Linked DNA regions of Coturnix japonica. The protein of the gene in region 1 interacts with the protein of each later gene in a biochemical or structural test. Links are inferred from orthologs where the notes say so. Each region holds a gene or a part of one and is shown on either strand. Other genes may lie near its edges.

Region 1 (4,363 bases):
GAAAAACTGCAGAGGAAAAGAAATGCAGAGCAAGCACACAGCACATCACATGGACAGCTCAACACAGGGCTTTGATTGTGGAGCTTTTGGGAAACCACTGAGTTCTAGAGGAAAAAAAACCACAAGCTTTCAAATAGCAAATTCTGCCTTCATGGCCAGGGAAGTCATATTTAATTTCAACTTCTAGAGTAAGCTGGTGTTATGTGTCTACAATCAGATATCAAGTATTGTCTTCAAGGTGTCCAACAGTCATGTTCAATTGTGTTTGCTTCTCCTCATAATTTTCTCAAGTACTACCTGACTGAAATTAATACAATCCCAATCTGCTTCCTGCAGGGAAAACAAGTGTGTGCAAGCTGCAATCAATCACACACCACCACTTCTCTGGGGGAACTGAATTAGCATCAGTACTCCATCCTGGAGTCACCACTGCCTTCGGAAAGGACTTCACAGGTGGGAAGAAAGGGTCTCTCTGCACCAAGCTGCCTGTCCCAGTGGATAGAAGAGCAGCTTCTGGAAAGGGCAAGAGAAATCCCCCTGCTAGGGGAACACACCTTCATGCTGAGAGCACCCCTAGAGAGCAACTGCTTCCAACACATGTGAATTCTTACCCTTCCAACTAGGGCTCAGGAAAGATACCACTTAAAAATGTCAGGCTCTCTTCTGCATCTGGGTGTAAGAATGAAGTAAAGACTCACTCTTCTCTGGGTATTGCTTAGGTAATCCTTTATTATGCTGATCCTTCCCTGAACTGGTAGCTGGCACCCCAAAACATTTTCCTATGGAGACTTTGAAAAGCAAAAAGAGACTTGAGTTTATGAAGGTCAGCCACAAAATACCACGTGAATTCCTTTCACATCGAGCTGTCCAGCTTCTGCTGAATAATAAATGCAAAACCCTCGTGCTGCTGTATAGCAAGAGAATTGAAGACTTCACTTGATACAGCCATATGCTTTCCCAGTTCCCTCATGCTCCCAATCCCTACACTCAGCACATTTTTATTTCTCATATATTACCCTCACTTTAAGACTCTCTTCTCCCTCCAATCATGTAAATCCCAAACACTATATTGCAGTACACCACAGTGCAGCTGCATCAGTAGCAGTGTCTGTGGCCCTGCCTTCCATGCAGTATTCAACACAGAACTCCAAGAGAAGAAATGCTACAGACTGTATTTATGATATACAGAACAACAGTGAAGAACACAGCCGTGTAAGGGCGCTCTTCCCCCAGCTGAGGCCGATGTCCTTTTCTATCAGCAGAACTGAGGGCAGGGTTTGGAAAGAATCACGAAGTAGGAGTAGACCACGGCTCTCTAAACTCCTCAGCAGAGGGGCCTCTTACCTCCTGGAAGTTATGCTGGGTGAACTTGTCAGCAATCCTCAGCAGTTCACGGCACGAGTGAGTGTCAGCAAAAGCTCGGATGCCCAAGCAATTGGAAGGGTCCAACTGTCTCTTAAGGAACTCACAGCAGGCCTCCTGTATCTCAGCCAGCTGGAGAAGGCAAGCAGCTGGCAACAAGGTCTGGACATTTCCCTCTTCCACAGTGATCTGAGAGGTGTAGGCAAAGTCAATGAGCAGCTCCATGGCCCTTTCATCGATATCTCTGATCACCACTTCTGTCTGTCGACTCTCTGCCAGCTCCCCAGTGAACATGGCTCGGAAGTACGGGCTGCAGGCGGACAGGATCACCCTGTGGGCGTAGATCTTCTTCGCACCTACCACCAGCACCACATCACACAACTCCCGGTGCTTCCGAAGAAGATTGATGACTTCCAGAGTCTGTCGAGGGTGCTTGTCGGAGATGTAAGGCATACGAGCAGGCTGCGGCACCCCTTCCGGCAGCTTGTTAGGATCTCCCAGTGTGCATCGGCTGGTCACATCCATTCCGGTCTCCCCTGGTCGAGTACTGGTACACCTGCAGCAGGAGAAGCCAAAAAGAAGATCGGCATCAACTCATCCATCACTAGCTGTCAGCAATGCTCAACACTTCACACCAATCACACAGGCAAAACCAATGCTGCCCAGAGCTCCAGATGAGAGTGTGAAAAGAACCAGTCTCAAACCAAAGTCTGCTCAGAAATAAACAAACGCCAGCTTGAAACAGGCTTATACCTATTTTTATATGCTTTTTATGACATGCCACAGCGACGTCCAACCACATGTACATATTTATTAACTGAACCTCATGACTGCCTGGCACGGTAGAGAAATATTATCCTCATTTCACAGGCTCAAAGCGAAGAAAGTTATCCCATTTGTCCACTGCCACTTGAGTTTGGTCAGTTTTCTGCTGCAAATAATTGCACTCATACAATGTAGCCAAACTTCTCCATTCTTTTGCCTACATATTGAATAGGGGTGTCCAGCACTGACACCTGAACACACACAGCTATCCTGAGGACTTCAGTAGCTTTAGATGGCCTGCAAGCTAGCAGGCAAGCAGGATTAAGAGACCAATCAGAAAGGAAGTCAAAACAAAATATTCACAACCACCAACACACCAAGTGAAGAATCAGAGCGCTGACAGCTGTGAATAATCAGTGAGCACCGCTGGCTGTTGGAGGGAGCCTGGGAGAGCCAACACATCCATTTCCAGCTCCTCTGGTACATTGGCATTTGGGAGTTATCACCACCTCACTTTGCTCATACTAAGAGTGAAAGAAGAGACAGCTTTGCTATTGCTCAGTGCGTTTTGCAGCATGCATCCATTCCTCTCATTATTATGTCAAGTGCACTTTCGAACAACAAGCAAACCAGCCTCTCAGCAGCAGTTCCAATTACCGGCATCCCAGACTGTTTTCCCATTCCCCCCCACGCTTTCTCCTTGATCATGGCATTCAGCTGCTTCAGACCATTACCTCTCCCTCCTATCTTTGTTGCACAGATCCAGCTGGGCCTCCCTCTGTGCTTTATCCAAGTTCAGCCTCTGCATTTGAAATGCCTTGCTTGTTTACTTGTTACATATATATACAATATATATAATACATCCATTGCTGTTCTCCTTTCCTGACACCTCTGACAAACCCTTCTGCTGTTACACTGCCTCCCGCTCCCCTCCACCCACTCATATCCCTCACAATCCAAATTCACTTTGCAGCATTCCAAAGCTCTGCAAAGTTCCTCCCAATAAAATGCAGGCAAACACTCCTCGCAGCATCAATGAGTTCAATGGTACCCTCACAAAAACCTCAAGAAACCTTAGCTAAAGATTAATTGACCTAATTGGCTTTCTCTGGTAGTCCCCAGCAGCTAAGAGCAGACAGTAAGTAACTTAACCCCTCTATCTAGGGATGGAGGAAGGCAGCGACAGAGCCCCCCAGTATACAGGCCAGCTCACACTAAGCACACCACATGGATTTCATTGTGCTAAGGCCAGATTTGGGCAGTAGTTCCCCATTCCTTGCCAGGCCAAAATAGGCTTTTCTCCCCAAATCTGACTGCTGAACAGATCTTTAGCTGCAAAGGAAGCTGGTTATTAAGAACCTCAGGCGTTCCTGCACTGTTCCCATCCCTATTTATCTGAGCGTGCCTATTGTATCCAGCCTCCTTTCTCCAAGAAAAAGAAAAAGGGGCTGGTTAATGATTAAAGAGAACTGAATGGCTGGAGAAAAAAAAAGAATAATAAGCAAATTACCATTCCTGATTCATCCCTAACTTACCTCTAGGTAATGCAGAAGCAAGTGATGGATGGGTTTGGGAATTTCCATACTGGATCAAGACAGGTGCTTGACGTTAAGCACCGTGGGCTGCTGCTGCACACAGGCACAGAAGTGTGAATTAAAAGGACACCGCCAGCCTGTGTCTCCACAAGGATAATAACTTCACTGCATTATGTGTGCATTATGCATATATATGCATAGAGAATGAAACGATGACTCAGTAGCTTAGAGGTGCAAAAGACAGAAAGCAGCATTTGATTCTCACATGCTAGGCTAGCTGCCATCTCCCAGCACATCCACAGCTCAGAGCTGCTCCCACATACACAGGGTGATTAAGAAGAGGTGAGGATTGAGGAGGAAATGTGTGCTGGAAGGATAAAAGCCGGGTGCTCAGCTACGCAGATATGCTGGGATTAGCCTCCATTAAAACGCAGGGCCGAGGAAAGCAGCAAACACAATGCGATTAAGAAAGGGCTGACAAAAGATGGGCTTCCTTAGCACACTGCTGAGGAGTACAAATGGAAACACAGGCAGTCTGCCACACTAGGTCAGCGAAATAAACAGGCAGCGCTACCTCCATTTATACACCCAAGAATAGATATCTAACAAAAATGCTTCCAGATAACATCACTGAGCTGCTTAACTTTAAGGTCAGGGTGGCCTGTGTTTTTTGGTTTCAGAAAGCCTTGATGTAATGCAGA
Region 2 (3,650 bases), on another chromosome or scaffold:
CCTCTTATGTAAAAAACTTCACAGCTATATTAAACCAATGCCTATAAATGTTATATTAATTCTTGTATGTTGTAAATGCCCTTCAATATCCTTGTCCTCTCACCCTGAAGCCTATCTTAATTGGATATTAATGAAAAAAGGTTAAGTATAGTATCATCTTTCCATACAGAAATGCTCTTTTCTTACAGCTAAGAAATTTGCTCACTTTATCACTCTGACTACCACCTAATTATGAAGCTACTTCAAGGAACAAAAGCCATTTATCCAAACAGTAAGTCTGTTCCCATTCTCGATGTTTTAGTATGAAGCCTGATTTCTAAAAATAGGTACTACAATCACTCTTCATTACACTGTTTCAGAAGTGTAGGTTCTCCTTCTATAAAAATGTGCATTCAGTTGCTGTCTCACAGTAACCTACACTATAGAAAACCTTACCAAACCAAATCCTTCTTTTTCAGTCACTTAGAAAATATTTTTCATCCTTTAAAATTAACACTTTTTTCCTGCAGTAAATCCTTTTTCCCCAAAAAAATCAATCATGCAATTCCATGTCATTTACTCTATCACTTTTATACTGCACCACCCCCTGAGAAAAACCCCACAAAACAGTGATGCATTTTAAAAGCTATACACTGTAGGCACAAAAGCAATAAAATGGCTCACAGAGAGCAGGTAATCAAGCACAGCACAAAAGGTGAATATTTATTCTTAAGAAATGCTTAGCTTACAAAAAACCAAGTCATTATTTGGCACTAAACAGAAACAAGTTCTATATACAATCAGTGTCCTAAAAGCTCTCTAAATCCTCTGAAGTACCATTTGCAGAGGTGTGCAAAAGAAAGCCAAACAGGAACACAAAAGTTAAGCTCAGTTTATCCTATGTTTAAAAACAACAAGCAGTATGGTAAGCATTTCTGTCTCCCATATGATATAGTCTTACCTTCTGTCTTCCCATTTTTCAGCATATGAACTAGCCCAGAGTTCTCCATTTCCACTATAGTTTTCATATGCTTGGAAATAAGCTCCCTCTCAACAACTTTCACAATTGGCTCTTCTGTTGATTTATCCAGACAGTGCATCACCCGTTCTATTTCTTCATTAATTCTAGCTTCTACTTTCTTTATATATACAGAAGCACTGTTTTCAGCTAAAAATTTCTGACTTTCCATCTGTGATTAACACAAATTAATACTTTAGACTTCTTGTATTTTAAGGAGGAAAAAATGAAATATACTGGTTATTTCAGATCAGCATTCATTAACAAGTTAAATCACTCCGGCACATCCAACAAGCAAGACCTCCAAGAGTTACATATATGCTTAACACAATAAAAGTTCTACTACACTCATTGTGCTATGTAGGTTTGAGGGTACATGAATATAAGTGTGGTATTCTCCATGCTAAAGTGAGCACAATCAGCCTAATATCCAGTGACCAACAGGAGTTAGAGCTACAGGTCCAACGAAAATAAAGACGGGAGAAGCAAAAAGTAAAATCTCTTTTCAAATACCAGTCTATGTCATATTTACGAATTATATGCATCAATGGTTTTCTCATTATTCTTAAGAATGACAATGCTCACAGTTAAATTATGTTAATTATGTGAAATAAGTGTTTCTTTTTCCTCAAAGTTAGTCACACTTCTTATTTCATTTAACAAAGATTGACATTACTCGTCGAATAAACAGTAGTTACTTAAGGTACCACTAACTCTTATGATTCCATGCAATTACAAGAGAATTCCAAATAGGGTAATTACAAGACTGCTGTACCTGAAAAAATTCTGCAGACATCTCCAAAAATGGAGCCTCAAAGTCTTCTTCATAGACTGACCTTCCTTCAAGACCTAGAATCATTAACATCTGGCAAGCATTTCTTATTGCGCCTCTGCCAAAAGTAAGTTGTTAACAACTTCAGAAATCAACATAACACAGGGAGTACGTATAGCAAAATAACAATTTTTAACTTAAAATGTACTAATAAAAAGTCTGTCCTACATCTGTTTGTTGCACCAGAGGTTTTCCAGATGGCAGTAAGACTATCACTGTTTAAAACTAAGGAGCTGACAACACATAATATTTTAAATAGGAAAGCAGATCTCAAGTTCTACCAATTCTGAAAACTATTAACAGGAATATATTTCTCCACACCGGAAAATAAACAAGGAACACTGAAAACTGCATGTGTAGGTTAGTAGTAAACAAGACAGTTGCACAGATGGATGGTGCCATGCAGAGTATGAAAACACACCTGCAATTTAAGCATCTGTTTAGGCATAAACATGCTGATAACATTCAAAAACAAAAGAACTGTATCTATGAAAAAATTTCATTTCTGGCAGCAGGGGACAATATACAGCTGTTGCCAACATGTATTTTTCTCTTCATAAACTGTATGTTGGGCAATCCCAATTACAGAACTGCAGCCAAAGTAGCATGAAGTTTACATATCTCCACACCCAACAGCTGTTCTGAAACTGGAGAAACGCAAAAAAACTTGCAAACTTCGAGTTACTTCACATGCAGCATCTGAAGCTCATGCTGTCAAACCACTTCCACAAATATGGCAAGAGAACATGAAGAACAGATTTTAAAGCCGAGAGATAACTGAACTGGGTTAAAACATTAGGAATGGAAATGGAAGACTAAAAGATAACTTCAAAAATCAAATAAAGCAGGTAGAGGAAAGTTAAGCAGCCTCTCAGTACAGAGGACAAGCAGGACGACAACAAGGGGCAGAGAACTGTCAAACCTCTGCTTTATAATAGAATGCTATGACAGAAGGTGGTAACGGAGAGACTTAACAAAAACTTCAATAAACATCTCAAGATTAGCATTAGAAATGTATTAATGAGTGTATCCATTTACCATTATTTTAAGTTTGCTAAAAAGTAAAAATGTGGGGTTTTTTCCATGTTATGAAGAAACTTTCGCTTAAGTAATGATTTAGCTGTGCACATTTGTGATTCACTCAAGGATTGCTAAGTGTCATTTGCAACAGCAGACAGTCACTTACAAACATCTTACCTGTCTACAACCTCTCCTTTCCTTTCTCTTGCAATCATATCCAGCAGAGTTTGCCGTAAGTGATCTCTAATACAGCCATAACGTACAACTTGATCTCGAAAAATAATCAAACCCAAGTTGTAGACGTTCTCCACGTTATTTTGTTGTACGTAGACACGGTCCTACAATGAAGGCACACAAAGCAAAGACACTTTGAATTCATCATGCCCAGGTTATTCAGAAATGGAAGAGACCAGTCACACTGGTGCTGTACACATATAATCAAGTGAATCCCCTTTCTTCTCATTATTAAAAGGAAGCAACCTCAGGATCAGACCAATTTACCAAAACTTTATTTAATAGGGAGCCTATATTGCTTAAGACCGTAAGCACAGCATTTATAACTAAGCCAAGCAAGAACAAATTCACAACCCCTGACACTTTTTCAGTTGGAGAGTAGGGGAGCCCCCAAACATTCAGAAAAATCATAGAATAATCTGAAAGCTTTTTATGTATCTACTTAATTCCCTTCCATCCACATCCTTTATCTTCTGTAAAGTTATTTTTTCTCTATCTGCCACTCATAATTCCATCGCTCGATTTCACAGTTCATCCTCATTATTTAATGAGGCTTCTTGAAATAGT
Region 3 (3,650 bases), on another chromosome or scaffold:
GTTTTTTCCCCAAAAAGCAGTAAACTGATTTATTTTTTTCTTCCTTTCTTTATTTTTTTTCAGCGAAGTTGCCTGTAAGTTATTTCTCTGAGCAAGAAAGCTCTGTCTCTGAAGTTGCAGATCACTGAACAGATTGCTTGACTTTTTCATCCCTAACCTCTGTTAGTAAATACTAGTGTGATTTACAGTGCTGGGCTTGTTTTTTCAGTTAGTCACGCTCCCACTTCCCGGGGAAGTCTTCACTAGAGAATGTGTGTTTACATTTCATTCATTCCAATGCAAAGCCTGCTGGCTTAATAAAAATTTGCTTTCTACTTGTTGATCTGTTCTGACAGATATTGTGCATCACCCTGCTTCCAGCTCAGCCCTTCCCTTTTGCCTCCCCCAAAATATATATATATATATTTAATTCTGGAGGCAAGGAAATACATAAAATTACTGGAAAATGATTGTGACTTCAAAAAATACTTGGACTTTTATTTTTCCCTCACATCTTGGCTCTGTTGTGTTTTCAGGATGGTCATATAGCCCTGCACCTTGCTGTAAGAAGATGTCAGATGGAAGTAGTTAAAACCCTCATCAATCAAGGATGTTTTGTTGATTTCCAAGACAGACATGGCAACACTCCCCTGCACGTGGCCTGCAAAGATGGAAATGTCCCTATTGTAATGGCACTTTGTGAAGCAGGTTGTAACTTGGATGTTGCTAATAAGGTAAATGGCATATGGCACTGAACTGCTTTAAGAGGTCACCTATTGCATTAGATGATCTTCTCTACTTTGCTAGTCAGAAAATTATTTTTCCCTCATTTTTATATTTTAAAGTGGTCAGATGTAAAGCATTTGATGACTCATGCTGCAAACTTACCTTTTTCAGTTTAGTTCACAGATTAAAAATCCATGAAGTAGGAGCCGAAGTGAATTAATTACCACAGTGTACTCTGCTACTCAGCTCTAGTGTTGAAATCTGTGCCAGCCATCTTCCCTAGCCTGAATAGACATTTGTTTGATGTACTTTAATAATACTAAATTGCTTCAAAATTAAAGACTGATACATTTTTATTAAAAATCTTTAAATTCAGTACAGGTCTGCACTGTCATCTGAACAAGTGATAGAAAACAAGTGTGGATTCTGCTGCTGGTTATAAAAATGTTATATTAGCTGGTTTATGTTTTTCTTGAGTTCATTTATTAAAATATTAAAATAAATAATGACAAAACAATTGTACATGAATTCTCAGAATTAAAATGTTAAAAGTAAAACTATTTTCAAAAATTGTAGTTAGATGACTGAGGGAGGAGCTTTGGGGAAATTGTCCTATTGGTGATTCTTTCACTTACAAGTGACAATTATGGAAGTAATAAACGTTAAAAGATGTTGAATGTGATACCTCTTCATGGATTACTACCAGGTAAATATGTGAAATGCCAACTGATTGTAGTAATGGGCACTTTGCAAAGAGAAAGTTTCATTGCCTATCTCTGAATTTGGAGATAGTGCTAGTGCTTTCTTGGCTTCTTTTCTTGTGCTATTGCTGCAGGGTATGGGATAACTAAATGAGGTGCTATCCAGGTTTAACATTCTTGCTTTCCTCCGATGTATCTTTAGGTGAAAAATAAGTAAGCTGTTTGAGAAAATTTTCCTAAACTGGATTTGAATAAGTTTAAAGTCTGCTAATAGACTGCTGACATGCTGTATTTAGTTTTGAAGTCTTCTCTACTCTGTTGAATTTTTGTGCTTTTTTTGTGTGTGAATTTAAAAGTCTTTTTTTTTTTTTGAGACATCTTTATGTCATTAATTGTTAATTTATATTGTTAATTTATATATGATTCAGATATTGTAATTCAGTTTTTCTGAAAATATGCATATTCCAACAGAATATTATACTAATATTTCCACTTAGTATGAAAACTGACATTCTCTAAGTAAGCCAGCAAATTAAAGTTGTAGGTCTTCTTGCTTGAAGGTTGTCCAGTGAAATCTCTTGGCTTTAATAATTAAAATAATCAGCTGCAAAGTCAAGAATCTTACAGTAATGAGCTCTCTGATCTTGCCTCTGAGCTTAAATATGATGACTAAGCAGAGAATCTAAATTTAATTGCCGAGAACACATTTTGGGAAAGTGAGATAATTCAGCAAAAGGCTGGATTAGTACCTCTTTTCGTAACTGAGAATGCTCAGTTGGTTTCAGTAGCCTGGCCCCAAGCATACCATAGGGAAATAAACAGCCTTCAAGTGGTCAGTAGATGTGGGATCATAGCGCAGGAGCTGCAGTTAAAGTTTATGTCCTGCTAGTCTTTTAGGAGTCAAGTATACTGGAGTGGTTTTTAAGAACACACTTTATCTGAAAGATTGAGTAAAAATCTTATGAAATAAAGACATTTATTTCTACTTGTGCTTTTCAGCAGTGAGACCCATGATATGAGTAAATAAACTAAGGACCATCTGTCCTTGGTCCTCAAATCTGGCATTGTCCTGTGCATATCCAGTACCAGTTGAGGGCGCTGCTAGTTTCTTTCAAAGTCCATGCGCAGCAGAACATCATAAACATTTATTTGAGTTCGAGGAGTAAGCAGCTTTTCAGTTTATAGGTGCGTAAACTTAGCTTTGCTTTCAGGTACTCTTTTTGAAGTAAGCAAATGAATTTGGTTTGGAATGTAGGGTTAAAACAGGGAGAACAGTATTGAGAATATGAAGTAACAAGAGGAGATGATGAGAGGATTTACAAGTAATGCAAGGATTTGCAGTATACAGTAGAGTTATTTATGTTTTTAGCTATGAACGTAAAAAACCAGAAATGATTGATATTTTCATATCTGTCATCAGAAGAAATATTCCTAACCTTTTTTTTTGCTCTTTTCTCCAAATACTTTCATCACTTTCCTTTTGTCACTACAATCATAGATCCCTTCATGCACACTCCTTATGTTCATCTATTATTCCTTGCTAGGAGAACACTACAGAAACGTTATCTTCAGTAATGCTTGGTTTGAAATAAATTGAATCTACAGCTTTAAAGACTAGGGACTTTTTCTTAAAATTTTCATACTACCTTTGCGGTGTATCAGTACTTAATAATAAAACATATAATATGATTGTTAATCATAAACATTGGAATGATATTGTTTGTCTAATATGATCCTTTATTTTCTCCATGATAGTATGGAAGAACACCTTTGCATCTTGCTGCAAACAATGGCATTCTTGAAGTTGTCAGGTTCCTTTGTCTTACTGGTGCCAATGTGGAAGCTTTAACCTCAGTAAGTATTAAGACGATGCTTCATGCATGTTTTATATACAATAGTAGAAAATAAGTTAATCTCAAGGGAGAGAAGTGGTTAAATACAATTACATTTTGAAATGAAAAAGTAGTAGGGAGTAGAACATCTACAACTTGAAAATAATTGTTGTCAACTTGTGCCCTTCTTACAGCTGAATTTGAAACTAGGTACAGTGAAGCTACCACTTCATCTGTGGAGTTTATTGACTTAAAATTAGTTAGAAATACAGATAACATAATGTTATAATAGGCCACTGTTGTTAAGATAGGTAATCTCATACCTTGTACAGTTGCTGTACGGATGCTTAATGTGTATCCTGTTCAGTTTTTTGTTTTTTTGGAGAAGTTTAAAAGCTCTGTTTTCATGTCA

Evidence for each region.
Region 2: the proteins of KLHL20 (region 1) and CUL3 form a complex in vitro, tested with the Homo sapiens proteins (2 studies listed by BioGRID and IntAct). The link is inferred for Coturnix japonica from reciprocal best matches to the Homo sapiens genes KLHL20 and CUL3.
Region 3: the proteins of KLHL20 (region 1) and DAPK1 are reported together in a solved structure, tested with the Homo sapiens proteins (2 studies listed by BioGRID and IntAct, with this or other methods). The link is inferred for Coturnix japonica from reciprocal best matches to the Homo sapiens genes KLHL20 and DAPK1.

Annotation. Positions count from the first base shown.
Region 1 is NC_029523.1:6,135,206-6,139,568, forward strand, and holds the start of KLHL20 (kelch-like protein 20), read right to left. Parts: upstream 2,951-4,363; 5' UTR 2,936-2,950; coding exon 2,862-2,935; intron 1,919-2,861; coding exon 1,345-1,918; intron 1-1,344. UniProt on the Homo sapiens protein: Substrate-specific adapter of a BCR (BTB-CUL3-RBX1) E3 ubiquitin-protein ligase complex involved in interferon response and anterograde Golgi to endosome transport.
Region 2 is NC_029524.1:6,977,974-6,981,623, forward strand, and holds part of CUL3 (cullin-3), read right to left. Parts: intron 3,188-3,650; coding exon 3,027-3,187; intron 1,888-3,026; coding exon 1,773-1,887; intron 1,170-1,772; coding exon 941-1,169; intron 1-940. UniProt on the Homo sapiens protein: Core component of multiple cullin-RING-based BCR (BTB-CUL3-RBX1) E3 ubiquitin-protein ligase complexes which mediate the ubiquitination and subsequent proteasomal degradation of target proteins.
Region 3 is NC_029547.1:37,546,015-37,549,664, forward strand, and holds part of DAPK1 (death-associated protein kinase 1), read left to right. Parts: intron 1-515; coding exon 516-713; intron 714-3,161; coding exon 3,162-3,260; intron 3,261-3,650. UniProt on the Homo sapiens protein: Calcium/calmodulin-dependent serine/threonine kinase involved in multiple cellular signaling pathways that trigger cell survival, apoptosis, and autophagy.